Mus musculus: one gene and its partner. The protein of the gene in region 1 purifies or fractionates together with the protein of each later gene. This does not show direct contact. Links are inferred from orthologs where the notes say so. Each region holds a gene or a part of one and is shown in the gene's direction. Other genes may lie near its edges.

What was found. The genes of interacting proteins can lie anywhere in the genome.
Region 2: the proteins of Mecom (region 1) and Suv39h1 purify together in Homo sapiens (affinity purification with western blotting; 3 studies listed by BioGRID). This does not show direct contact. The link is inferred for Mus musculus from reciprocal best matches to the Homo sapiens genes MECOM and SUV39H1.

What each region holds. Positions count from the first base shown.
Region 1 is NC_000069.6:29,978,258-29,981,901, reverse strand, and holds part of Mecom (histone-lysine N-methyltransferase MECOM), read left to right. Parts: intron 1-944; coding exon 945-2,301; coding exon of another isoform or gene 2,302-2,305; intron 2,306-3,644.
Region 2 is NC_000086.7:8,071,837-8,076,172, reverse strand, and holds the start of Suv39h1 (histone-lysine N-methyltransferase SUV39H1), read left to right. Parts: upstream 1-1,412; 5' UTR 1,413-1,610; coding exon 1,611-1,629; exon of another isoform or gene 1,630-2,035; coding exon of another isoform or gene 2,036-2,057; intron 2,058-3,704; coding exon 3,705-3,850; intron 3,851-4,336. UniProt on the Homo sapiens protein: Histone methyltransferase that specifically trimethylates 'Lys-9' of histone H3 using monomethylated H3 'Lys-9' as substrate. Also weakly methylates histone H1 (in vitro).

The sequences.
Region 1 (3,644 bases):
GCTCAGGACCACACTGGCTGCCTGAGTCTTTCAGGATCAGAGTTGTCTCAGCCCTCTCCTCTGCTTCCCATACTCGGCTGACACACACTGAAGTCAAGGCCCGAGATAACTGAGGAAGATACACCAGCAAGTGAGCATGTTTCCCAAGGATGGGGGTTTCATCTGCAGGAAGGTTACCACAGCCATCGGTGTGAGAGGAAGTCAGAGGACGTGCTCATAGTTCATGGGAACCAGCAATCCAGGATGGGCCACATTCAATTTAGTTTCCTCCGCAGGCTTAAAATAGAGCCATTGTAAATTATGTCAGTCTTTCTCAAATCATGAAAATGATTGTTAAAAGGGTCTCCCAATACACAATGTGCATTGTTGTGTGGCTTTGATGTGTGAACGATGAGAGTGCATGATATAACGCTGATGAAATAGTGGGAGAACAGCTTCCAGCCCTTCCCCACAGGGAGAGGGGAGAAAGGGGAAGGTTGTGGATATGGGGAAGGCTGTTTACCCTGTCTTGGTGTATACAGTGCAGAATGTTTTCAATGCTCTGAAGTGTTTGTGCTAAACATATCTTTAATTTTTCAGAGTCTGCTAGTGTTAGGAAGCAGGTGGGAGAAGCAATGCATTCTGGGCTGTGTCTTTTTCATCAATATTTAAACATACAAATATTATGAAAAATATTGTGCAGTGGGGGTGGGTGGGTGGGAAAGGTTTACATTCTCTGTGTGAAATATTTGTGCTGCTTTGTAGACATTTGTCAGGTTGGATGCCTTGCTTTGGAATCTAGTAAAATGGCATTTTCTGTGTCCTGAGCATCCAGATCGCTGACTCCCAACTTCTATTCCTGGCTTCCTAATTGAAACTATTCTGGGTAAACCACTTGTGCTACTTGCTGCATCCAGAAGCAATTGTCATAAAGCCTGAGACTCTTTTTTGTTGTTTGCACACAGGTGAGGTCTGCCATAAATCCTATACTCAGTTTTCAAACCTTTGTCGTCATAAGCGCATGCATGCTGATTGCAGAACCCAAATCAAGTGCAAAGACTGTGGACAAATGTTCAGCACTACGTCTTCCTTAAATAAACACAGGAGGTTTTGTGAGGGCAAGAACCATTTTGCGGCAGGTGGATTTTTTGGCCAAGGCATTTCACTTCCTGGAACCCCAGCTATGGATAAAACGTCCATGGTTAATATGAGTCATGCCAACCCGGGCCTGGCTGACTATTTTGGCACCAATAGGCATCCTGCTGGTCTTACCTTTCCAACAGCTCCTGGATTTTCCTTTAGCTTTCCTGGTCTGTTTCCTTCGGGCTTATACCACAGGCCTCCTTTGATACCCGCTAGTCCTCCTGTTAAAGGATTATCAAGTACCGAACAGTCAAACAAATGTCAAAGTCCCCTCTTGACACATCCTCAGATACTGCCAGCTACACAGGATATTTTGAAGGCACTATCTAAACACCCACCTGTAGGGGACAATAAGCCAGTGGAACTGCTGCCCGAGAGGTCCTCTGAAGAGAGGCCCCTTGAGAAAATCAGTGACCAGTCAGAGAGTAGTGACCTTGATGATGTCAGTACACCAAGTGGCAGTGACCTGGAAACAACCTCGGGCTCTGATCTGGAAAGTGACCTTGAAAGTGATAAAGAGAAATGTAAAGAAAATGGTAAAATGTTCAAAGACAAAGTAAGCCCTCTGCAGAATCTGGCTTCGATAACTAATAAGAAAGAACACAACAATCATTCCGTTTTCTCAGCATCTGTAGAGGAGCAAAGTGCCGTGTCAGGAGCTGTGAATGATTCTATAAAGGCTATTGCGTCTATTGCTGAAAAATACTTTGGTTCTACAGGACTGGTGGGGCTGCAAGACAAAAAAGTTGGAGCGTTACCTTACCCTTCCATGTTTCCCCTCCCGTTTTTTCCAGCATTCTCTCAATCAATGTACCCATTTCCTGATAGAGACTTGAGGTCGTTACCTTTGAAAATGGAGCCCCAATCACCAAGTGAAGTTAAGAAACTGCAGAAGGGAAGCTCTGAGTCCCCTTTTGACCTCACCACTAAGAGAAAGGATGAGAAGCCCTTGACTTCAGGCCCCTCGAAGCCTTCAGGAACACCAGCCACAAGCCAAGACCAGCCCCTGGATCTAAGTATGGGCAGTAGGGGTAGAGCCAGTGGGACAAAGTTGACTGAGCCTCGAAAAAACCATGTGTTTGGGGAAAAGAAAGGAAGCAACATGGATACTAGGCCATCTTCAGATGGCTCCTTGCAGCATGCCAGACCCACTCCCTTCTTCATGGACCCCATTTATAGGTAAGGATGATGGGAAGAGACAGTGGATGAGACAGATGTGTGAAGTGCGGGTTGTATGCTATGTCATCCCAGATCCCCTATGATCTCCCAGATCTCCACCCCTCCTCCTTGTGATTATGAGGTTTAATCAAATGAACTCATATTCTTAAATTCGGAAATTGACAGATTAATTTGGACTTATTTTTGGATGTCTCTGAAATTGAGGTTTTGGAATAGACCCACAGGATTTTTTTTATTTCGACAATACACTTATTTTCAAACATTGTCAGGAAGTGGAAAATATGAGAAAGTCATCTTTAAAGCAAGGCTCCTGAAGGATTAGCACTGATATGCGTGGGCGTGTAAATGGGTTGCTTATTTAGAATGACACAAGACCTAGAACGGCCTGTCTTCTCTTTGTTAACCCAATGGTATATATTGATGTGTGTACTAAATGCATTCTCTTTCTAAATAGATCTCTTAGAACCCCAAGTATGTGAAATAGTAATCACAAAATGGCTTTCTATTTAATGAGTAAGTTGCTTAAAATAAATCTATTTAATCCCATCATTACTTAGTTTCCTTTAGTATGTGTAAGCATTCTATAGGTAAATCATATACGTTTCATAGAATGTGTTTTACACAATATATTGTAACAATTACCACAAAAAAAACGATTTGGTTTTTGAATTTTAATTTTCTTTAACCATCATATTTATTATGCCTTTTACAGAGAATAGGACTTTTCAATTTACTCTGAAATTCAAATTCTGAATAGTCTCAAGACTTTGTGGAACATGTGGACTTTTTAATTGAATTTATGTAGGATCGGATCATTTTCATAGTGTGCCTAGTGCTTCTTAATGAAGAAACTTGGCATTACTCTTTCAGTCAGTAATACTGATAAATAGCCTCTAGTTTAGTCAGTGCCAGAACCGAAAGTCCTTGTCAGTGTCTTCTTCTAAAGTTTGCTAGTGTGCTAAAGACTGTCTCCATTTCAACAAGAGAAACAGAAGAGCCCAGTACAAGAGCACGATAACATGGGCCAATCTTCACATTCCCGAGGCTGAGGCAGGAGCATCACAGGTTTGAGGCTAGCTTGAGTCTATGTAACAAGACCATATCTGGGGGAAAACGAAGACAATGTAAAATGTTCTTGTGCTACCAGTGGTCATGTTTCAGCACTGATAGAATACCCACTATGCCATCTTCATCACCTCTGACCTTCCTCAGCCCATGCCTGCTGACTTCAGTTTTATGGCTCCAGACCTTTCATTTTTTTAAGAGGCAAAGTGTCATGAAAAACCCCAAAGCCTAGTGTTAGTGCCAGGCCCAGGGTACAGCTTAGCCTTGCAGCCTCCAGA
Region 2 (4,336 bases), on another chromosome or scaffold:
AGATAAGGCAGGCTCCAGCTGCAGATGTAGCAGAGAATGACCTTATCTGGCGTCAATGGGAGGGGAGGCCCTTGGTCCTGTGGAAGCTCGATGCCCCAGCAAGTAAGGGGATGCTAGGGTGGTGAGGCGGGAGTGGTTTGGTGGTGGTAGGGGAGCACCCTCATAGAAGCAGGGAGGATGGAGGATGGGATAGGAGGTTTCCAGGGGGAAAATAGGGAAAAGGTTTAACATTTGAAATGTAAATACATAAAATAACCAATTTTTAAAAAAAGGAAAAAAAAAGAAAATCTAAAAAAAAAAAAAAGATAAGTCAGGGAAGCATTTCATGATAACTACTGATGCCCAAATTACTTTAAGCTGATATTTAGTGAAATGGATTTAGAAAAATAATTGATGGGCCACATTGAAGTTTGTGTAGCACGTAACTCTGTCCTCCTGCTGTGCAGTATAGGGTTTCTCATGTCTTGTTGACACTAGAGATATGAATACGTCTGTAAATCTGTAATAATTGCACTTTGCGAAATCCTGGCTCTTTCTAACTCTTCTGGTATATGTGCGTGTTACTGTGGACTGTGTACGTGTGCATACACATATGTAGGCTAGAGGTCAACAGCAGGCATCTCCCTTGATTGTGATCCATTTTCTTTTTAATTCTTATTACATTTATTGGGTGTGTGTATGTGTGTATGCAGACACATATGTAGGTCAAAGGTCAATGGTAAGCATCATCCTTGATTGATCTCATTGTATTTTTTTTAATATTAAATTTATTTGGGGTATGTGTGTATACACCTACCAAAGTGCAGGTGTGAACAGAGGACAGCTTACAGGAATGGGTTCTGTCCTCTAAGAGCAAGCTTGGGGCTCCTGTCTCCCTCCTCCAGCACTTTGTCGCTGGGTGTGGCTCTTACATGGGTGCTGACAATAATTTGTCCTGACCTAATCCCAGTCCACTTCGGGACATGGGTGGCCATTGGAGTTTGAGACGTCTCCTTCAAGGAAGATGGAGAAAGGGCTGCCTGGCTAACAATGTGATGGGGACAGTTTGAGGGAATAGCAGGCTGCCTGACAAGGGTTGTGCTTCTATGAACTCAGACGGCTGCAGGGCACAGATGGATGCTACTATTGACTGAGTGTGAATGAAGAAGCGAGTGATGGAAACGGACATCTGATGGCGGCGACCGACTTATTATTTATTTCAATCAGGTGACTGGCTGAGCACCTATATATATGGCTCTAGGTCCACCCTGGCAGTGAATGCCTGCGCGAGGTTAAAATAAATGACTGGCAGAATTGGGGTTGCACAAAACAAGCCCTTTATGACTGGCTGACGCCGCGATTGGCTAGCAATATGACTGACAAGGGGCGGGTCCTGGAGCAAAGGCAAGCTTTGCTACTGCGCAGGCGCACTCTGAATAAAGGCAGCGAGCACGGGCTCTCGAGACCACTCCTGGTGACGGGAGGAGTCCAGGCACAGCTCCGCGGTTGGTCCGAGCCGGAGCTGCGAGCGGCGAGGAGCGGCCAATCGACTGCGCGTCCCCGGCCACGCCCGCGCGCGCTCTCTTCTCGCGAGGCCGGTTAGGCCCGAATGTTGTTAGCTGTGGAGAAAGATGGCGGAAAATTTAAAAGGTGAAGCTGTGGTGCTAGAGACGCGAGCTACTGGCCCGGCCGAGTAGAATGGAGGGAAGGTGGCCGGGGCTCCAGGCCAGGCGTCCGGAGCTACGGAGCCTGGAGCTGGAAGGCCGGCGCGGCAAACGTGGGGGCCGAGAGCGCGGGCCCGGCGCGCGGGCAGGGCGGGGCTGAGGGGAGGGGGCGCGTGCTTCGGCCGCGGGGGGCGCGGGGCTGCGCAGGCCGCGCGCGGGGTTTCTCGGCCGCGCGCGGCTGGCCGGCGCGCCTACGCGCGTGAGAGAGAGTCCTGAAGGAGAAGGTTGCGGCCACGCGCGGGAAAAGGCGGCTCTCAGTGACCGTTACCCTTTCGGTTTCCACGGGAGACGCCGGAAGGGGAGGAAGAAGTGGAACGGACCCCCTTCTCAAAATGGGGGAGCCGGCGACTCTAGGTGGGAAAGGGATCGAGGCGAGATGGGGGCAGGGTTTTCGGGTAGACGAGTCTCCCCGGAAAGCGGGACTTGGTGGGGGGGCCTCGGTGAGAGGAGGGCTCGGCTCCTCCATGTGCAGGAAAAGAGGGGTGACTTGTGCGTGCTGGGCGGGCTCCTCGGCCTCGAGTAGAGCGCTGAGAAGAGATTCCACAAGTGTGAGCCGGAGCTGCGGTGGGGAGGAGTGCGGCTGCTGGCACTGCAAATGGTATTTGCAGGCCACTTCTTGGGGCTTTCAAAGGCGTTCCAGACGCAGGTTAGAGGCTCCGGGAACCGAGAGGCCTCGGAGGAGAGGGATTAGTCTCTGCTGGGCCTTGGATAAAAAAGGATCAGTGTATATGTACGCAGTGATCTTTTTTTCTTTTGAAGTGTTTGTGTGTTCTTAGGTTACCATCTAGAGCATCTTATTAGGATTGTTTTAGATTTGAGTCGTATGATGGGAGGAGAAAAAAACCATCCTTAAAAGATGGCATTGGCTACTGACAGCATACACCTAGCATCAAGTGGTTTTGTGACATATTTTGATTTTTTAAAAATGGCTTCTAAAATTACGTTGAAGAAGGGATGTGCTCTGAAGCAAAAAAATGTGTATACTTTAAATCCGCTTCTCTTGAACAATAATTTTGGTGACCAAGAGTCATTGTCGGGGCTTACCTACCACATGTATTGTTTACATGTTCCTGAATTGAGAGCAGATCCCTTCGAATTGAGTTGTACTTTTCACCCCCGAGACAGGGATTTTTTTTTTCCTTGAGACAGACTACGGCTGTCCTAGAACTCAGAGATCAGCTTGTCTCTGCCTTTCCTGGGTCTAAAGGTATGCACCACTATGCCCAGTTTAATGTAATATCTTTCTACAATCTTTATAATTACAAAACCTAAAGTCCTTTGAAATAAAAGTCTTTCTTAAATGTGTCACTAATCATGGCAAGGGATTTTTAAAAGTGAAATTATTCAGTGAGAATATTTAATGTGAAAAATCAAGGCTTTTGCTATAGATGTGTTTGCTGTTAATGTGTTTTGAGTATAGATGGCTTAATGTCCTATGCCAGGAATTCGCCTAAAATTACTTGTGTAAAATTCCCAAATGTTTGAATTCCAAAATCCAGTGGCCCAGGAGTTTCAGATAAGTGAAGACTTTATAGCAACACCTCTGTTTGTTGCCCTAGGGATTTTTGTCCTACCCTGACTCTCTTAGTTAACGCACCCCAGTCTTTTGCAAAGTGCAAAGAGCATTGCTTAAGGCTCTGACCGAAGGTAAGTCTGCAGGCAGCTTAAGGCCTTGGATGTTCTGCCAGTGGATCCCTTTATGGACGGGCCCATTGCTACAAGCGCCACTTCATCCTTGCCATTCCAGAGTTAGGGGGCCAGAGTTTGGAGTAGAAGATTCTCCCAGATGAGGGCATAGGTCCTCTGATAGGAGAACTGGACCCTTCCATGTGCAGGGAAAGACAGGTTGATGCTTCCTGGTGTGTAGGCTTATTTCCAGGTGTTGCCCTGAGAATTGAGCATTAGGGTTCAAGGAATTGGCACTTCCTGTTGCAGAGGATCTTAGCTTTGGGTAAGGCCCGTCGATTACATTTTTGTGAGTCTTTGGCCTTCTCATTCTAGGTTGCAGTGTGTGCTGTAAATCTTCTTGGAATCAACTGCAGGACCTGTGCCGACTAGCCAAGCTTTCTTGTCCTGCCCTTGGTGTTTCTAAGAAGAATCTGTATGACTTTGAAGTTGAATACCTGTGTGATTATAAGAAGATCCGTGTAAGTCTGGTGTGAGTGTGTGTGTAGAGAGAGAGAGAGAGAGAGAGAGAGAGAAAGACAGATACTACACTGGCAGGGGACCCTCTTCTCCACCAACCCCACATCTGTTTGCAAAGAGGATTTTTCTCCTCTGATTCTTCCTGGGGGGAAATAGAATGAATTGACCCTCTTATTTCCATTTTACAGGGAGGGAAATAAAGTGGCTTTCTCAGAGAACAAGAGGCAGAATGAATCCTCCAATGCATGTTTGTTTCCACCTAGAAATACAAAACTAGTTACCAAGTTGATACTTTGTGCCTAAGAGTGGAAGTAAAAGATGGCAACAGGTAGAGTGCCCAACCATAAACAGTTACTGATGCCACAGAAGTAGTAGCAGGATAGTTAGAGGAGCCCACTGAAAGTAGCATGCTTAGTTTAAATGTAGCCTTCATTTTCTGTCTATAAAATGGGAGGGGCTGGCCGAGTATGGTGGCCCAAGCCTTTAAT